Linked DNA regions of Macaca fascicularis. The protein of the gene in region 3 interacts with the protein of the main gene of each other region in a biochemical or structural test. Links are inferred from orthologs where the notes say so. Each region holds a gene or a part of one and is shown on either strand. Other genes may lie near its edges.

The links.
Region 1: the proteins of ERBB2 (region 3) and SRC form a complex in vitro, tested with the Homo sapiens proteins (3 studies listed by BioGRID, with this or other methods). The link is inferred for Macaca fascicularis from reciprocal best matches to the Homo sapiens genes ERBB2 and SRC.
Region 2: of the proteins of ERBB2 (region 3) and PTPN3, one has a biochemical effect on the other in vitro, tested with the Homo sapiens proteins (2 studies listed by IntAct, with this or other methods). The link is inferred for Macaca fascicularis from reciprocal best matches to the Homo sapiens genes ERBB2 and PTPN3.

The regions. Positions count from the first base shown.
Region 1 is NC_088384.1:93,451,730-93,458,472, reverse strand, and holds the start of SRC (proto-oncogene tyrosine-protein kinase Src), read right to left. Parts: upstream 3,743-6,743; 5' UTR 3,560-3,742; intron 2,287-3,559; exon of another isoform or gene 2,171-2,286; intron 1,314-2,170; exon of another isoform or gene 1,195-1,313; intron 1-1,194. UniProt on the Homo sapiens protein: Non-receptor protein tyrosine kinase which is activated following engagement of many different classes of cellular receptors including immune response receptors, integrins and other adhesion receptors, receptor protein tyrosine kinases, G protein-coupled receptors as well as cytokine receptors.
Region 2 is NC_088389.1:48,731,105-48,737,747, reverse strand, and holds part of PTPN3 (tyrosine-protein phosphatase non-receptor type 3), read right to left. Parts: intron 4,711-6,643; coding exon 4,582-4,710; intron 3,628-4,581; coding exon 3,482-3,627; intron 2,966-3,481; coding exon 2,830-2,965; intron 755-2,829; coding exon 677-754; 3' UTR 1-676.
Region 3 is NC_088390.1:60,774,093-60,780,735, reverse strand, and holds part of ERBB2 (receptor tyrosine-protein kinase erbB-2), read right to left. Parts: intron 6,631-6,643; coding exon 6,511-6,630; intron 6,233-6,510; coding exon 6,106-6,232; intron 2,917-6,105; coding exon 2,843-2,916; intron 2,757-2,842; coding exon 2,666-2,756; intron 2,450-2,665; coding exon 2,250-2,449; intron 1,889-2,249; coding exon 1,756-1,888; intron 1,674-1,755; coding exon 1,583-1,673; intron 862-1,582; coding exon 701-861; intron 1-700. UniProt on the Homo sapiens protein: Protein tyrosine kinase that is part of several cell surface receptor complexes, but that apparently needs a coreceptor for ligand binding. Essential component of a neuregulin-receptor complex, although neuregulins do not interact with it alone.

The DNA.
Region 1 (6,743 bases), on a different chromosome or scaffold from region 3:
ATACATGGGGAGGTCTGAGAAAATGGGGTCAGCTGAGGACCAGAGAGATGGGCATAAGGTCCCTCAACAGGTCACCGAGCCATCTCCTCTCCGGTTCCTGGGGCTTGAGGGAGCCAGACATCCCTCCACCCCACCCCCCAGGTCACAATCAGAGAAGCAAAAGCAGGAACCAGGCTGAGCTGTGGGTAAGTCATGCTCCAAGAAGAGCTAGGGGACAGGGAGAGACAGCCAGGGCCCTTCTTCCTAGAAGAGATGGGCCTAAGCTAAGCCTGGTGGGGCAAGGGTAGATAAGCAGCACCTGGAGGAGAGGGCACTCCGGGAGGGACACTGTTTAGAAGCAAAGGCCCAGGGGCACGCGGGAGGGCCTAGGCAGGCAGTCAGCTGAGAGAGGTGACACACTGTAAATCATTTCCTTGGGTGGAAAGACCACATCACCACATCACCAAAAAGGCCTCGTGGCTTTCATTCAATCCCTCGGCACAACAGTCTTTTCCGGCCCTGCTGTGTGCGCAGTCCTGTCTGGGGAGCCTCCGCTGCCCCATCACTGGAGGGATGCAAGGGCAGCCAGACTGTGGTCTCTGAGGTCGGGGCTTTCATTCCAGCTTGCATCTGTATGGCCTTGGTCAAGTCACTTCCCCTCTCTTAGCCTCAGTTTCCCCATCAGCAAAATGAGGATAAACAAGAGTCCTTACCTCCTAAAAGGTGTTCAGTAGATGTTGGCAGCTGTCATTACCATTGGCCCAGTTTTATACGTGGCAAAACTGAGGCCAGAAGGGAAAAGTGAGTTGCTTACAGTCACCCAGCTGCTGGCTGGCAGGATGGTGCCAGGGCTGTTTCTTTCTCAAGGCATCAACCCATCTTCTTCTAGGATGAACTAGCCAGCAACCTCACATCTCACTTATCTTTCTCAGCCAATGCGTCCAGTGAACAATTCATTTATTGAGCATCTACTACATGCCAAGCCTCTACCTGCAGAAGCGCTTAGAATCTTCACCTGAGGATTCTCATTTCACGTATGGGGACTTAGTGGGGCAGTCTCTTGGCCCAGGTCACTGGGCAAGACAAGAAGCCTCAGTGCCTTGACTCCCCAGCCAGGGGGCTGAGAAGAGGGTCTGCAAAAGGACCAGCCTGGCCCACCCTAGAAACCAAGTCTGATCCCAGCTGCACTGTGGCTGTGGCTGGGCCTGGACTTACCCCAGGTGACCCAGCAACCACTGCCCCAAATTGTACAGAGTCCATGAAGTTCAGGAGGCCTTGCCCAGGGGCACACACAGGCTCTGTCCACTCCTAAGTCCACCTGAAGGACACAGGTGCTGAAAGGATACCACAAAGGTGAGCCCCTTCTGTTCACCCCATCCTTCCACCAGCCCAGCAATTCCAGCCAGGCCCACCTGCCACCAATGAGGACCCCAGTTCAGAGAGGCAGGCAGTTGTCTGAGGACACACAGCAGGGCAAGTGGCAGCCCTGGTGCAGGACTCAAACCCACCCCCAATCCCAGCCCAGGCAGACAGGTGGACCTGGCCCGGTGGCCAACACCCAAAACTTTTGCCAACTTCTGAGCCGGCTGGTGGCTGGGCCTGCTCTGGGGCGAGGCTGGGGGCTGTGGGCAGTGGAGACTAAACGCAGTCTGGCCCAGTCCCTTCCAGGCCGGCAGCACCAGGCCCTACCCGAGGCCCCAAGAGGGCAGGGAGGTCCTGGTGGTTCGGCCTGGCGCCCTGACTCCGGGGCCCCTCAGCCTGCCCTGCCGAGCCCCTCCACCTCCCACCCTGGGCCGGGGGGCGCAGGACCGGGCAGCCCAGCCAGAGGCGGCGCCGACTGGCTCAGATTTCAGATTTGGCCTAGACCTGGCCCGGGGGCTAGGGCCCAGCTCACCCGCTTCTCTGGGGGATCCTATGGGGAGCACTAGCTGGAGGGGGTCCCCACGCAGCCAGGACCCCTGCGTCCCCCCGCCCAGTCCCCTCCCCCCGCGGCATCACAACAAAAGGCCGCGCTGGGCATGGCCCTGTGCGCCCGCCCGGCGCTCGGGTATCGCAGCTCGGCCCGGGGGGTGGGAATTGGGGGGTGGACAGGAGCCCCCGCGGGCCCGCGATCCGACCCAGGTGGTCCAGGGCGGGGGCTCCCCCGCGCTGGCCGGGACTGGGGGCCCGCGGAGGGGCGGGGGGCGCTCACCTGGGCCGGCGGGCGGGCGGGCGCACCGGCAGACGGACGCACGGAAGGGCGGACCGCGGGACGGCCGGCGGGTAGGGCAGACGGCGGCCTGGCCGCTCCGGCTCCCAGGCCGGAATGGATTCCGGGCTGGGAGAGACAGATCGAGAGAGAAAGGGAGGAGGAGGAGGAGGAGGAGGCGGCGGCGGCCCGGGGAGGGGAAGAGGAGGGAGGGAGCGCGCGAGCTGGGAGGAGGGGCCCGGCAGGCAGCCGGGAGGAGGAGGAAGGAGGAAGCGCGCGGGGACGGATTCCCCGCCGGTGACCCGGGAGAGACCCAGGCACGGCCGGGGTCCGGGCGGGGTGGGGACACCGGGCACAGAGGCCCCGCCTCCCACTCCGCCAGGGCGTCCCACCCCGCGGGCCCCATCCGCCCCCAGGCCAAAATGCCCTCCTCGACCCACCCACCCTCTACGCCCCAAATCTGCCTCTCCCGAAATCACAATTAGTAATAATATCAGCGGGCGTGGAGCGCCCGCTCTGGGCCAGGCGCCAGGCTAAGGTGCTCAGGTCGACTTCAGGGTTTAATCCTAACCACCACCTGGCCTGAGTGGCGGAAGATCGCCCCACTTTACAGATGGGGAAACTGAGGCACTGACAAGAACCAGGCCCTGGACTTTAACCTTGACCTGAGTTTCTCAAAGTGGGGGCTGGGGCAGGAGGGACAGGGTGGGGAGGAGCGACCTTTATTTTAATAGTTGTGGGTTCATTTTAAAAAGTGCGTAAGGAAAAAACATCCCTGGCAGCCCATTGGAAGTACCCTAGTTCCAGTTATTACTGCTTAGGAGGGGTTGGCCAGGGCATCGGAGTGGCACTCACACTTCCAAGTAAGTAAAGAGGCTAAGTATCTCTGAACCAGGGCAGGAAGTGTAGCAGAAAAACGGGACATTGAGGAAACGCTGCTTTAGGCCACAAAGACTCCCCATCACCCCCTGGCACAGGCTCCAGGGCTATCCTTTTGGGGCTGGGCACCCCACCCTTGGCTCCTCACCTGTCCTGGAATCCTAGCACAGGGAAAGGTGGACCTGGGTCCTGCTTTAAATATCACACCTGCCTCCATGTTCCTTCTTTGAAAGTTCTCCCATTTCACAGATGGGAAATTAAGGCCCAGCCAGGTCAAAGACAAATAGAAGCCTTTGCCAAGCTTCTATTCCCTGGGCAAAGGTCCCCACTGAGAGGAGCCGGGAGGAGCACCCTAGAATGTGGAAGGCAAAGACCTCTGGGTACAAAATACCTTCCAGGAGACCAGGAATGAGCAAAGCCTTACTCTACACTGATCTAGGTTCGCATCTAGGCTAGCTGCCCCTCTGTTGTGGGGTGGACAAGTCCATCAGCTTCCCAGCCCAGCCCCCTCACCTGTAAAACCGGAGTGAACGTGGCCAGAGAAGATTCCTGGGAAGGCTGAAACTGACCAGTGTGAGGATGGTCGGGTTGTGCTAGATGAATAGTAGCTCTTCCGGTGATAAACTGAGGCCAAAGGGGAAAGGGGCTGCTTGAGGTGCCACAGCCAGTCAACAGCAGAAGCCAGGCGAAATGGCTGCCCTTGTTTGCAAGGCTGGCTTAAAGATTAACCGCAGCTTCTCAGGGCTAGGCGGGCCCCCGGCTGGAGAAGCAGGTTTCTCAGCCCTCTTCCATTCCTTAGACATGTCTAAAGGCCTTTACTGGCCGTACGGGGCTCGGGGGGAGGCAGGTATAGTCACCCAGTGACACGCTGGAGCTGGCCCTTGCCTACTTGCAAGAACCGACTGTGCTCATCTCTTCCCAAGTCCATATTCAAGAATGTCACACTGGTTAGCTCCATGTCAGCCACAGTGGGAGTATTTACCCCTTGGACATCAGAATACGCTACCAATGAAGCCTCTTTTTTCTTCCACAGAGCTGGTTGTTCAATATGTACCAGCACATCACTAAATTCATCCCCAGGAGTTCAACAGAAAATTCTGGGCTTTTCGAGAACTGGGATGACAGAGAGCTTAAAAGTACAGATTTTGGACCAGACCCAGGTTCAAGTCTCAACTCTGCCACTTTGCAGATAATGTAAGAAGCCTCAGTATGCCAACCTGAACAGTGGGCTAAAGATATCACAGCCCCCAGAAGACGCACGTAAGGATGAAATGAGGTGATGCCCGCTCAGCACATGTGAAATCTCATTCTCATTCATACCCTACACGCTCTTATCAGAGAGGAGGCAACTCAGACAAGTAAGGGTTCTGCAGGCAGATGCAGCTTCGCACCTGAAGCTACCGCGGGCTTCAAGGGCCTGGCTCAGTGGCTGAGGTTCTCAGGAGGATGTGGCCAGCACAATGGTTTCATTATTGAGCGTTTGAAGCGCTCTTTATTTTTAACCACCCCTCTGGGTTTTTGCTCAGGCTGTAACCCCTGCCAGGAATGCTCAGCCCCTGTCCCTGGCTACCTCGCCTTGTTCTTCAAAGTCCAGAGTAAATGCCACCTTCTCCACAACATGCTTCCTGACACACCCTGATGGAGGCACGTGCCAAGTCCATTCTGAGTGTGTCTGTCCCCACCCTGAAGGCAGTGACCAAGGCCTGGCCCATGCCCAGCACAGAGCAGGCACTGCCCAGTTGGCCAGGCAGCACACACTGACTTAGGACCTACAGACAAGAGTTCAAGTTCCAGCTCTTCCCTTCAGTGACTATGTGAACCTGCCTTCTCTGGGCCTCAGTGTACTCATCAGTAAAACGAGGGTAACAACCCTGGCAAGCTCCAGGATTATGCAGTTGGGAGTTGCGGGTCTGGCCTGGTGGACAAGTGACTCTTTGTGCAAATTATTTTGCTTAAAACATTCTTTGTTGGTAAAGCAGCAACTCACTGCTTAATTCCTGCAAATCATCATTAATGGACAGCAAGCATTTATTGACTACCAACTGTATACATGGCCCCAGACCAGTCTTAGAACACCAACAGGAACCACTTCCCAACCCAAAAGCACCCAGCAGATGATAGATGCTACTGACATCAATATTGCTGAGATGGTGAGTGCTGGTCGTATAGTCCTCTGTCTCCAGAAACCTCCTCTTCCCTCCTTCCCTCAACCTGGGTGGGTCAAAGCCACAACTGAGGGGAGGGTGGAGGAGGTAGGGTGAGGCAGTGAACCCACCAGTCAGAGTTGTCCCATCACATGGGATTAGAGGTGCTGCCCACACCACACCTAGTGCCCTGGTGCCTCTGGCTCAATGGTGGCTGATCTGCCATGCCCAGCCCCAGCCCAGCTCACCCTTGCTGCAGCAGCCAGGAAACTGGACCCATCACAGGCCTCAGTGGGAAATTCCAGACCAGCTCCGCCATTCTCCACATGGTGTGCTGTGAGTGGTCTAGTTGAAGCCACCGGGCTCAGGGCTACAGGATAGGGTTGGGTGAGGGATGGGCTCTAGCCTGAGGCTGTGGAATGGGCTTGGCACCTCCCCTGGCACTGCACTTCACAGTTTCCGCAGAGATGTCCTGCTGTGCAGGCCCTGGTCCCCTCCCCTCCTCTACCTGCCTCCTGCTGTCCCTTCACAAGCAGTCCCTGTCCTGAGGCCTTTGCACGTGCTGATCCCTCTGCCTGGAAGGTTCCCACCCCCTGGCCCTTGGCTGGGCTGCACTCATCCTTCCTCCTGCAGTGGTCATTTATTGAGCATCTACTATGTGCTAGGGTCTGCGCTACATGCTGGGATACAGCAGTGAAAAAACCAAGGCTGGTCTCTGGTCTCTAACTTAGAGGAGTCAGGGATGGGCAAGTACAGGGGCTGCAGGGCCCAGAGTGAGGCCCCTAACCCAGCATGTGTGTTGAGGAGAGAGTTGTCTATGGAGAGTTTAGAAGCCTGGGGAAATGGTTGCCAGGTGAAAATGAGACAGGGAGGCAGGGCATGGTGGGTCATGCCTATAATCCCAACACTTCGGGAGGCTGAAGCAGGAGGATCACTTGAGCCCAGGAGTTTGAGACCAGCCTGGGCAACACAGTGAGGCCCTGTCTCTACAAAAAAAAAAAAACCTAAAAATTAGCCAGATGTGATGGTATGCACCTGTGGTCCTAGGTACTGGGAAGGCTGAACTGGGAAGATAACTTGAACCCAGGAGATTGAGGCTGCAGTGAGCCATGATCGTACCACTGTACTCTAGCCTGGGTGACAGAGCAAGACCCTGTCTCAAAAAAAAAATAATTATAATAACAAACAGGACAGGGCCAGTGTGCAGGTAGAGGGACAGCATGAGCAAAGACAGAGATGGGGATGCCGCTGCGTCTGGAACTCCATGCAGAAGCACGTGGTGTTTGCAAAGCACAGCATGGCGGCTGGGCTGGAGTCAGGAAAGTAAGGTGGGCAGGGTGGCAGGGGAACCTGAGGATCCCTAAGTGCCAGTCGTGGCTTCCGTCCTGGAGGTGGTGGGAGCCATGGAGGGTGGTGAGCAGAGCAGGGCCTGGGGAGATGTGGAGTGGCAGCCACATTAGGGGACAGGGAGGGGGCAGTCAGGAGGCCTCTGTGCTGAGGAGCAGCAGGGACCCAGTTAAGGCAGAAGGCCTGGCTCATACAGGAGTGTGTGC
Region 2 (6,643 bases), on a different chromosome or scaffold from region 3:
AAATTCACCTGAATGCACATTACTAATCCAGGTCAGACACCAAGAGGGAACCTGAAGAGGGACACGATTCTCAGAAACATGAATATTGGAAGTCGCTGGGAGATGGGACAAAGGGAGGGAGGGCAGAGAGGTGTTGCTCAGCATTCAGCCTGACCCCCAGCACCCTGCCATCTAGTACATTCGTCAGGGTTTCCTTAGCATCGGGGCAGGTGAATCTGAACTGTTTCAGCTCCACCTAGAAGCACAGAAAGCTCAGCCCTTACAGTATGACACACAGAAACAAACAAAACATCCAAACAACCCGAGATAACCACACCATCTTGTTGCTGGGAGGTCAACAGCTCTGTGGGTGTCCCGTCTCAATTGCTCCAGGATGCCGACAGGGGTGTGTGTGGTGACGTTAGGGAAGAAGGCATTAGGACAGGCCTCAAACTGAGATCCCTTTTGTATCTTTCCATAGAAATACAGGCCTACATGATGCCATAATTGCATGCTTATCTACACCAGTTCCTATGTACACGGTATCTTTTCTATAGAAGTTTAAAGTGCCTGGGTTCAGAGGTGCCCATTCCCTTCCCACAGCTACTGGTTCCTCTTGCTGCTTCCAGAGAGGTCTGTCCTCCTCTCTCAAGGAGGATGCCCTTGGGAAAGAGGAATGAACATTTTCACAGTTGTCTTAACTAGGATCCAGCATTTGGACTAAACCTTCTTCATACACACGAAGAATCGCTTCACACACAAACTTGTACTGGCTCTGGAAAAGAAAAAAAAGCTGTCAAGTCCTGTAGCTTCAGGAAATGCTGCCTCCCACCCTGTACCGGTGGGTCTTTTGCAGCATTTGTAAACATTCCCTGAGCGCCAACTCTGGGCCACAGGCCAGGTACACCTGTGAAGCCCTAGTTCCATTATGACGCGGGGAGGGGGCACTCCCAGAGAGAGATGGACAAAGTGTCATGGAAACATGACAGAGGGAGGAACTGGCAGTCCGGGGGAGTTGGGAAGGAGCAAAGGTCCCTGCAGAGCGGCCATTCTTGTAAGTGGAAGTGTGGAAGCCCCAGTAAGAGCCCATTTTGAGAAATGGGGTCAGTGAGCCTGCTCTTGGACTCAACACCTGGGCATGTGGAGGAGGAGGGGTTGCCCAGGTGGGCTGGGACCTAGTTGTGGGCACCTTGTGCTGGGGTAAAGAGTCTGGATTGTTTTACAAAGCAGAGCCACTGAAAGAGGCTCTGCAGGATACACTTATTTATATTAGCAAATACCTAAGAAACATTATAGCAAAGTATACAGGGGGGCAAAAAAGCATTTAGTCTGAGCTTCTCTGGCTAGGAAAGTCAATCAATATCTATCTATCTATCTATCTATCTATCTATCTATCTATCTATCTATCTATCTATTCATTCTCCGGCTAGGAAAGTCAATCAATATCTATCTATCTATCTATCCATCGATCTATCTAGTTTTTGAGACCGAGTCTTGTTCTGTCACTCAGGCTGGAGTGCAGTGGCGTAATCTTGGCTCACTGCAACCTCCACCTCCCAGGCTCAAGCAATTCTCCTGCCTCAGCCTCCCAAGTGGCTGGGACTATGGACACATGCCACCATGCCTGGCTAATTTTTGTATTTTCAGTAGAGATGGGGTTTCGCTACGTTAGCCAGGTTGGTCTCGAACTCCTGATCTCAAGTGATCCACCTCCCTCAGCCTGCCAAAGTGCTGGGATTACAGGCGTGAGTCACCGTGCCCGGCTTCCAGCTGGGAAAATCTTCCAGGATGATGAACTTTTTTCTTTTTAACCAGTCACGAGGTCTTCCATAGCAAAAAACAAGGCAGAGAATGGCCCTAATAACATAAGCCGATTTTTTTTCTCTTAAGATTTTCTGGGTACAAACTAATATAACACTACCAAAGCTTAAGATCTATCAGGGAAATCTTATAAACTTTGTCCACAGCCAGTGAAGAGACACAGCTGGTTGGAACATACAGCTCCTGCTCCTTTCTTTGCTAACTCCTCACGTATCCTGGGGGTTTTGCCAGAGAGGCCACTTCTCTAGGAAGCCTTCTTAGACCTTCCAATCCTGCTTTAGGTAACTCTTCCACCATGTTCTCAGACAGCCCTCAACTTCCCTCATTGCTGCTGACACTTAGCATAGACTAATCCAGTTCTCATACTAGATACAAGCTTCAGTCTCTGCACCATTCTTTGTCAAATGAATGAATGAATGAATGAATGGATGAATGTGGGATGGTCCCCATTTTGCACAGGGAAGCTGAAGCTTGGAGAAAGGTTCAGGACTTATGCAAAGGTTGTTCCATTTGTGGTGCGGCCTTAATCATGCTCTTTCCACACCGCTTCACTGCCCCGCTTGCAATTCCAGGGGAAATCCCCAAGAGTTCCTCTTGAGGACAAGAGGATGTTGCACATGACCCTACTTTGAGCTCTGTCCTGCCCGTGGAGGACACTGCAGCTACTCAAGCACCACACGAGTGGGCCAGAGCTCAAAGTAGGGTCATATGCAACATCCACTGAGCCAAAAGGGGTACCCAGGTCTAGGTGGCGGGGGGGGGTGATGGACAAATAATTGTTCAATGATACAGAATGCAACCAGGGCTGTTTTCTGACAGACGGGCTGGCAGGAAATAAACCACAGAGGCAGCAGAGCTCAGAGGTGAGATGGGTGTGGGCTGTAGCCGCTGATAAGATCTGTGACCTTGGGCAAGTGATTCAGTCCCCCTGAGCTGCAGTCTGTTGACTCACAAAGCCCTTCTCTCAGGCCTGCCTGGTGTAAGTGCTCAGAAAGCGCCAGCCACTGTTATTACTGGATTTCTACTCACTGATGTCTGCACCATCATGGCGCGCTGGTCTCGCATTTTTCGGACAATATCCAGTGGGTAAACGGGCAGGTTCCTCTCAGTTAGGCACATGGCTGTTTCCATAGTGACCAACACACCGGTTCGACCTATTCCAGCACTGGAGAGGGGACAGAAGAGAGACTTGGGATTTGACTGAGTAGCCTTTTCTTCGCGTGGCCCAGCGAGCAGTTCCCCACTGACTCCAAAGGGACTTTCCTCCCCTAGCCTTTGAGAATACAAAACACACACTCAGGGTGTGCTCTCAAACAGGCTGAGACAGCCTCTCCTCACACATCCGAGGCTGGGGCCTAGCAGGCAGTGGAAAGAGGGCCACTGTGAAGTGCCAAACCCACTCTCTTTCTCACACACACCTATGACGAAGGTCAGCTGACAGAAGGACAGGAGAAAGGTGTGTGAGGGGACTTTCTTCTTCAGTTCTGTGCTACATTCACAAAGTTAGGATTTCATAAAATTCCAAATCACTTTTGAAATGGTGAAGAACCACAGTCAACAGAGGTTTGTAAGGGCACACTATTTTGTGGGATGTAGGGTGGGTCTGGCGCCTGCCAATTCTCTTCAGGCCTTTTCCAACGGGGAAAGGATTCCAAACCTAACAAAACAGCAAGCGCCATACCTGCAGTGAACTAGGACGGGCTCGCTGTCCACTCTCAGAGACCTCACATAGTTTACAAATTCCAGAAAGTCAGAGGAGTCATCGGGCACACCGTGGTCAGGCCACGCGACGTACTGGAGATGTGTCACTGTGTGTTCTTCTCCGGTCTGTGGGAGACGCAGTGGCCTTGGTGAGCCCATCCTGGTGGTCAGCATGAGGACCCAGCCCCAACCCAGACACAAGGGTGGCCCTGTCTCCTGATGCTTTCTCCCTCTGTGCACAGCCCCGCTGTGGCCACTAGCAATTCCTTCCCTCCTTCCCCAAAGATCCCCATCCCCTCTCAGGCTCCGCTGTGGGCCTGTCCTGCAGGGCTGCCTTCCTTGATCACTTCTGCCCAGATCTCCTCCATTTGCTCCTATGGTACTTGCCATTAGGGGCCACACATGCTCACTGTTTTTTTTTTGTTTTTGTTTTTTTCCAACTGTGGCAAAATACACTAACATGAGGCTTACCACTGTAACCACATGTAAATGTACAGTTCAGCGGCACTGAGAATACTTGCAATGCTGTACAGCCATCACCATTACCTATTTCCAGAACTTTAAAATATCCCACAAACATAAACCCCGCACTCATTATGCCATATGGCATAATGTCCATAGATCTCCTTTCTCCTCCTTCCCCAAGCCCTTGGCAACCGCTGTTCTACTTTCTGTCTCTATGGACTACTCTAGGCACTTCACAGAAGTCGAATCCTACAGTATGTGTCTTTCTATGTCTGGCTTATTTCACTTAGCATAATACACTCAAAGTTGCCCTATGTTGTAGCAGGGGTCAGAATCTCCTTCCGTTTAAAGGCTGAATCATATTCCATTGTATGGACAGACCATGTGCGGTTTATCCATTCCTCCGTCGATGGATGCTGGGCTGTTTGCACCTCCTGCCTGTTGTGACTAGGGCCACTATGAACTCTGGGCCTCAGGTGTTTGATGGGCAGTCTTGCGCGCTTACTGACACCAGATGGAAACAGAGGACACACCTAGAAGCGTGACCACCTGAAATGACAGCAGCCGCTGATTCAGCACCTGCCCCTCCACTGTGCCCCTCAGGCTGCGGCTCACCTGGGTGTTTGTGACCAGCATTTCTCGGGACACATAGGCAATGGTGCAGTCTTCTGACTGACACTGGATGTGAAAGCTGCCGTAGTCCATGACGTCGGGGGGATCCGGCCAGTACTGGTGACATTTGGTCTGTAAGGAACCACCGAGAGTATATGTGAGCTCCCTCTGTGGGGTGTCCATGCAAGCAGTTAACCCTGGACAGGCGGACAGGTTAGGCATCCTCTCATGCACACCCGAGAGAGCTGATGGGAGAAAACAAACTCAGCCAAGTCCATCAGCTGTTTCTCAGGGCGGGGTGGGGGCAGCCTGCCAGGGACCAGGCCATAGGTCTCCACTCAGCCCCAGGCTGCAGCCTGGAGGAGGAGGACGAGAGACGCAGCGTCTTCAGCACCAGTGGCCTCAGATGCAGGACCTTGGCCTGTGAGCAACCTCTCTACCCTCCCCGACCGCAGCCCCTCATGCCCCTCCCCGCCTCCAACGGCCCCTCATCCTGCACCCTTCCTCCACCATCCTCCCCACCCTTTTGAAGGGGAGGCCTCCAGGCATGGCAGTTAAGGGCACACATCTGGTGTCACACACAACTCCGCTGGGATCCTTTCCTCCTCCATTTGTCAGCCAGATGATGTCGAAACAGTTGCTTAACCTCTCTGATTTTCCTGTTTTCCACCAGAAAGATGGCGATGGCTCCTGCCTCAATGCTGGTGAGGCGGCTGGCATGGGTGTGCAGAGCTTAGCCGCTGTGGGGGGCAGGCCAGGGGTGGCCATTACTTCTGCTGCTGTCATGGGTTATATACCAGCTTGAGTAAGAGTGATGAGGTTCCACAAAAACCCAGATTAAGGGACTCCCAAATCGAGATGAATACCTTTCTCACTGGAGAAGTGTCTCCGAAGCCCCTGAAGGCTTTCTTAGGTGATGCCCTAAAGAGGTGATATCCCACACAGCAGACAAGGAACCCAGGGCTACTCGGGATTAAGTGACTTGCCCAAGGCCATGGGGCTGCAGTGATGCAGGCCAGCACTCTTCCTATGGCACCCCAGTGTCTTTCAATATGGCTGTGCTATCCCCACAGATGGGCTGATCCCACCACCCTCCCCAATTTCTATCCCCGCTTCTAAAACCTGCAGCTTGTCCTATAAGCCATCTTAGCACCTGCCTCTGGCTTCTAAGCAAACTTCAGGGCTAGGCTGTCCATCCCATCATAGATCCTTTTGTCATTTAGATCCTAACTTATTAAACAAGCATTTTCCCCCAAGCCTGTATGTGGTTATAGCAACTTAAGTAAGAATTACATTTGTTCATGGTGGAAAAGTGGTATAACCAAAAGACATGTGTAATTTGTTGGGAAACAGCCTCTCTATTCTTACTTTCAAATGTCACACTGAATACTTGAAATTAAAGTATGCCATCAGAAAGCTGGAGTTAAGAATTTACTTGGAAACCTTAAACATGGGTAATTTCGGCTAGTAGCCATTTTGTGACTTTGCTTAGACATGAGGGGTTAAGGGCTGTGGGGCCCAAGGCAGAGTTGACAGACACAAGTTCTCTCTCGCATCCTCATCTGCACAGGAAGGATAAATCCCTGCCCTGTAGGCTCCCAATGGTCCTGCCCACAAGATAACTGCAGGGAAGATATTCTCTGACGAGATCAACCTATGCAAGGCAGAACTACGAATATCTGTACTGCCAGAGAGGTTTCCCTTATTCCACAGTGAATCTGACCAGTACTAGACTCTCTCTTTACCTCTGACCAAATACAGATTGCAGCTCAATTTGGATCTGAAAAAATTGGGGGTGCAGTGGAAAGAACAAGTCTATGGAAATCCTGAGTTTCAACCTTGGTTAATAAATTCTACTAAACATATTTGGTTAGTGATCTCGGGCAAATTACTTAACTCCTTTGGGCCTCAGTCTCCACATTAATGCTGCTGCAATGAGGGGTGATGATGCTGAAGCCTCATATCTTCAGAACTGTAGATGCTAAGCACTGAATGGTGCCTTTCATGAACATGGCTTTACCTTGGCTTCAAAACAACCCTATGAGGTAGGTACTATGATTGTCTC
Region 3 (6,643 bases):
TCCAGCCTGGGTGACAGAGTGAGACTCCATCTAAATATATATATATATATGTGTGTGTGTGTGTGTGTGTGTTAGAACGTGCACAGATAAAAATAACTGGAGAATAATATTAATGTATGTTAACTTATATATACATATTAGAATGTGCACAGACAAAAATAACTAGAGGAAAAATATTTCAAATTATTAACAGTGGGGATAGAACTGCTAGGGCATTAATTTATATTTCATGTTTTAATTTTACCATTTTAACAATGTGTTATTTTTATTTTTATTTTTTTTGAGATGGAGTCTCGTTCTGTTGCCTAGGCTGGAGTGCAGTGGCGCAGTCTCAGCTCCCTACAAGCTCCGCTTCCTGAGTTCATGCCATTCTCCTGCCTCAGCCTGCCGAGTAGCTGGGATTACAGGCGCCCACCACCACACCCGGCTAATTTTTTATATTATTTAGTAGAGATGGGGTTTCACCGTGTTAGCCAGGCTGGTCTCAAACTCCTGACCTCAGGTCATCTGTCCGCCTCGGCCTCCCACAGTGCTGGGATTATGGGCGTGAGCCACCGTGCCCGGCCCCAACAATGTGTTATTTTTGCCATCAGAAATAAGATATGATAAAGGGAGAGTTGGTCCCCTTTTATAGTAAGAGCCCCAGAGAGACCCCTGAAAGGAAAGTCCTCCTTTCTGCAGAAAAGACCCTCGGACTCACGAGTGGGTGCAGTTGATGGGGCAAGACTGGCACGTGCCCTCCTCATCTGGAAACTTCCAGATGGGCATGTAGGAGAGGTCAGGTTTCACACCGCTGGGGCAGCGGGCCACGCAGAAGGGAGGGTCCTTATAGTGGGCACAGGCCACACACTGGTCAGCCTCCTGGGAGGGGCAGAAAAGGTTTGTAGGGGGCTGGCACTGACACCCCCAGGGCAGTAGGATCAGGCCCTTAGTTGGGTCCCCTTTGTGCTTCCCAAGGCCACCCAGCAGCAATTTTCACCATGCTCCTGGGACAAACACCTCTGCTCTTCACCCAATCTCTGTGGACCCTCCCTCGGGGCCCTCCTCCAAGCTTGATCCTGGGCGGGGACTTGAGCCAGAGAATGGGAGGCACCCAGAGAAGAAAACGCATTACCTAAGGTGTAACAGCGAGTAACAACAGTCACTGCTGCATAGAAAGCCTTTCCCGGGCTTCACTGTGCCAAGCCCTGTTTAATTTCATTCTCGCCACACCCCAGCAAGGTAGGTACTATTACAATACCCATTTTAGGAATAAAACACCAAGGTTGGAAGCAGGACCTGGGTCTGAATCCAGGTAGTCTGACACCTGAGCCCGCAGGGCTAACCACCCTAGCACAGCCACAGCCACAGCCACAGCCGCAAACGCAGACCTCCTTAGAACCTTTTCATAGTCTGAAGGGCCCCAGGGTCCCCCGGGCCCCCTTTCCTGCCACTCTGCTGCTGTTCGGGTCTGAGTGCTGAGCCCTCTCCAGGGATATTTTACCAGACGGCACACCCTGCCGCGTCTCGCCATCCTGCCAAGTCCCTGGCAATCCCCCTCGCTGCACCCCTCCACCCAGCTCTGAGCCCGCCAGCAGCTCACCGGTCCAAAACATGTCACTGAGCCATTCTGGGGCTGACACTCAGGGTGGCACGGCAAACAGTGTCTGGCATTCACATACTCCCTGGGGAGCCTGAGAGAAAGGACAGTGGTGAGCGGGTCTGAGAGGAGCCCCATGCACCCCTCCAGCCACCCCTCTCCTCTGCCCCTCATACCCCTGCAGTACTCGGCATTCCTCCACGCACTCCTGGCCCCGAAGGAACTGGCTGCAGTTGACACACTGGGTGGGCCCTGGACCCCAGCAGTGCCCTCGGGCGCACAGCTGGTGGCAGGCCAGGCCCTCGCCCACTGCAGTGAGGAGGAAGGGACCGCAGGGGACTTTTAGGGGAGGCCCCAGGTCCAAGTGAACCAGGGAACTGGCTGTGGGCATGGCTCTGGGCTGGAGGGGTGGGAACAGGTGGGGCCGATGTAGGGAGAGGAAGAGTTCTGAGATTTCAGAAACAGAGGGGGAGGGAAGGATGCCAAGGCAGGTGGGACCCAGCTAGAGAAGCCATGCCAAGAGGCCAAGCCAGCCAGAGCTGCACTGAGTCAAGAAGGGTGCACAGGGACAGGCAGTCTGCACAAGTCCAAGAACGCTGGTGCCAGGACCCCGTGGGCACTCTTGTGTGCTGGCAGATGGGGAGCACACACACTGGGCTCCCTGTCTTACCACACTCGTCCTCTGGCCGGTTGGCAGTGTGGAGCAGGGCTTGGTGCGGGTTCCGGAAGAGCTGGTCCCAGGGCACCGTGTGCACAAAGCAGAGGCGGGTGTTATGGTGGATGAGGGCCAGTCCACTGCCCAGTTCCCTCAGCGAGCGCAGCCCCAGCCAGCTGATGCCCAGCCCTTGCAGGGTCAGTGAGTAGGCGCCACTATGGGAGAAAGGAGGGCACCTTACCATGGTCCCCTTCCCGGACAGCAAAGGCTACTCTCATCTTCCTCCATCCCCAGCACACTCTGCAGACTTTCATGGAAAGGTTACTGCTATGTCCCAGGGGAACAGGAATACTCCCTCAGGCCCAAAGCTTCCCACAGGGACTCCTCCCTGGGACTCCTCTCCATCAGGCCCCTTCTTTCCCAGTACTCACTTGTGCAGAATTCGTCCCCGGATTACTTGCAGGTTCTGGAGGACGCTAAGGTCAGGCAGGCTGTCTGGCCATGCTGAGATGTATAGGTAACCTGCAGGCAGAGGGTGAGATTAGGGGAGTGGGGACAGGACACGGACTCCCAGCCCCGGCAGAGCAGGATGCAGAGACAGAGCCCACCTGTGATCTCTTCCAGAGTCTCAAACACTCGGAGCTGCTCCGGCTGAAGCGGGGCGGTGTTGGAGGCTGGGTCGCTGGAGGGATCAGGAGAGGAATCAGCAGGGCCAGGAACAGAGTGGACATCACTCCCAACACTGGCCGTGCCAGCCACTCCCCACCGTGAATGCCTTCACTCAAACCCTTTGCCCATCAAGCCCAGCTGTTCCCATCCTGGGCTTCAAAGCCCAGGCCTTAGTTTGGCAACATCTATCAAAACAGTATTTCTATCCTTTGATCTAGAAATCTTATTTCTGCCCGGGCACAGTGGCTCACACCTATAATCCCAGCACTTTGGGAGGCTGAGGCAGGCAGATCACAGGTCAAGAGATGGAGACTATCCTGGCCAACATGGTGAAACCCCATCTCTACTACAAATACAAAAATTAGCTGGGTGTGTTGCCGCTCGCCTATGGTCCCAGTTACTCGAGAGGCTGAGGCAGGAGAATCGCTTGAACCTGGGAGGCAGAGGTTGCAGTGAGCCGAGATCACACCACTGCACACCAGCCTGGAGATGGAGCAAGACTCCGTCTCAAAAAAATAAAATAAAAAAAGAAATCTTATTTCTAGGAATGTGGCCTAGGGAGACACTGGCCCAGAGCCACATATAAGGTGGAACTGTTTGTAAGAATGAAAATGGAACATGATCTAAATGTCTGTTAGTAAATAGGGGAGCTGTTAAATAAAACCCTGAGCCACCCAGCCACATAATAACAACCAACATTTAGGAGCACTTAGTATCTGCCAGGCACTGTTCTAAGAGCTTTACAAATACTAACTCATTCAAACTTTATAATCATCTGGCCAGGCGTGGTGGTATAACCACCTTACGAGGTTGGGACTGTTTTTGCCCCACTTTACAGATGAAGAAACTGAGGCACAGCACAAGAGTCACATGCCTAGTAAGTGGTAGAGCCGGGTTTCAAACCCAGGCAGTCTGGCTCCCAAGTCTGGGTTCTTAGCTGCCTCTCCTTGCTGCCGTCTGCTCTGCAGCTGTTGAAAGAACGAGGCGGTTCGGCAGGAACTGTCATGACCGGCTCTCAAAGCAAGGTTCAGACAGTGCTCCCCATATGCTCCCATTTACAGAAACAAACCTCCCCACCAAAACGATGAAAACCACACTTCACTGTGTGTGTGTCTACAGATGCATAAACAGTCTAGGTGAACACATGCACTGCTAACCATGGTCACCTCTGGAAAGGAGAGTGGAGGTAAAGGAAGTGTGAAAGATAATTTTTATTTTATTTTTTTGAGACAGGATCTTTCTGTCACCCAGGCTGGAGTATGGTGGCATGATCTCAACCCACTGCAGCCTCCACCTCCCAGGCTCAGGTGATTCTCCCACCTCAGTCTCCCTGGTAGCTGAGACTACAGGTGCATACCACCATGCCTGGCAAATTTTTTGTGTTTTCTGTAGAGATGGGATCTCACTATGTTGCCCATGCTGGTCTTGAACTCCTGGACTCAGGCAATCTTCCTGCTTCAACCTCCCAAAGTGCTGGGATTACAGGTGTGCACCACCACACCTGACCCCCTTTTTTTTTTTTTTTTTTTTGAGACAGGGTCTCACTCTGTCGCCCAGACTGGAGTGCAGTGGCAAAATTATCTCAGCTCACTGCAACCTCCACCTCCCGAGTTCATGCGATTCTTCTGCCTCAGCCTCCCAAGTAGCTGGGACTACAGGCGCATGCCACCAAGCCTGGCTAATTTTTTGTATTTTTAGTAGAGATGGGGTTTCACCATGTTGGCCAGGATGATCTTGAACTTCTGACCTCAAGTGATCTGCCTGCCTCAGCCTCCCAAAGTGCTGGGATTACAGGCGTGAGCCACCGTGCCTGGCCCCAATTCATTTTTTATCGAAGTATAACTTATATTTTTATTGAAGTATAACTTATACAATAAAATGCGCCGGGCATGGTGGCTTACGCCTGTAATCCCAGCAGTTTGGGAGTCTGAGGCGGGCAGATCATGAGGTCAAGAGATTGAAACCATCCTGACCAACATGGTGAAACCCCATCTCTACTAAAAATACAAAAATTATCTGGGCGTGGTGGCACACACCAGTAGCACCAGCTACTCGGGAGGCTGAGGCAGGAGAATCGCTTGAACCCAGGAGACGGAGGTTGCAGTGAGTCGAGATTGCACGACTGCACTCCAGCCTGCCGACAGAGCGAGACTCCATCTCAAAAAATTAAATTAAATTAAATTAAAATTAAAATAAATAAAATGTAGACTCTTAGCATACAGTTTGATGAGTTTTGACAAATGGATTCACTCATGTATCCAATACCCCAATCAATATACAGAACATTTCTATTACCCCAGAAATGTCCTCATGTCCCTCCCGTTTGAGGCCCCCCACCCTAGGGCAACCACCATTCTGATCTCTCCCACCAGAGTGGTCTTGTCTGTTCAGAGCCTCACATAAAGGGGATCAGACAGTATGGAATCTTGTCTCTGGCTTCCTTTGCTCAATGTAATGTTTCTGAGATTCATTCATGTTGTATCAGTAGTTCGTTTCCTTTAGTTGCTAAGTAGAACTTCACCAAATGGACATACTGCTTTTCCTTCATACTTGTTTATTCCTTCACCGAGTGATGCACATTTGAGTTATTTCCAATTTGGGGATATTTTGAATAAAGGTGCTATGAACTCAAAGGGAATTTTTTTTTTTTTTTTTTTTTAGACGGAGTCTTGCTCTGTCACCCAGGCTGGAGTGCAGTGGCCGGATCTCAGCTCACTGCAGGCTCCACCTCCCGGGTTTACGCCATTCTCCTGCCTCAGCCTCCCGAGTAGCTGGGACTACAGGCGCCCGCCACCTCGCCCGGCTAGTTTTTTTGTATTTTTTAGTAGAGACGGGGTTTCACCGTGTTAGCCGGGATCGTCTCTCGATCTCCTGGCCTCGTGATCCGCCCGTCTCGGCCTCCCAAAGTGCTGGGATTACAGGCTTGAGCCACCGCGCCCGGCCTCAAAGGGAATTTTACTTTATCTAGGTGGTCTGACCTCCATACAAGTCCTTGTTCACGGATAGCATGTCATTTACAAAAATAACCCCTCCCACCCCAAAGACCGTGCTCCCTCTGGTCTCCCATCTGCTTTCTTTGCATTCTTGCCCTCCCCCCCCATCAACTTCTGTCTCCTGCCATCCCCGAGAGATGCTGCCACATCTGGATCCTCAGGACTCTGTCTGCCCTGACACTGTCTCAGGCCATTGTGCCCACTCTTACCCATCAAAGCTCTCTGGCAGAAATGCCAAACTCCCAAAGATCTTCTTGCAGCCAGCAAACTCCTGGATATTGGCACTGGTGACCGCCCTCACCTCTCGCAAGTGCTCCATGCCCAGACCATAGCACACTGAGGGGGTGGAGGTGGGTGGGTGGGGAAGGGGCTGTCTCAGCCTTCACACCGGGACAGGTTAACAGCTACACGGGCATCAGGGTCCAGGCCCCTCCCCACACTGACAGAGGACATAGGGACGCTTGTAGGGCTGAGGAGGGCCAGGGGTAGACAGTAGAAGGCAAGGACTGGGTCCCAAGAGGGTCTGAGGAAGGATAGGACAGGGAGGGCTGGGCCAGGGTTCATGCACAGAGGGACAGGAACTGCAGCTGGCCTTGGGGGCAGTGAGTGGGTACCTCGGGCACAGGGCTTGCTGCACTTCTCACATCGCTGTGTTCCGTCCTCCGCTGTCACCTCTTGGTTGTGCAGGGGGCAGACGAGGGTGCAGGATCCCACGTCCGTAGAAAGGTAGTTGTCTAAGGAGAGCAG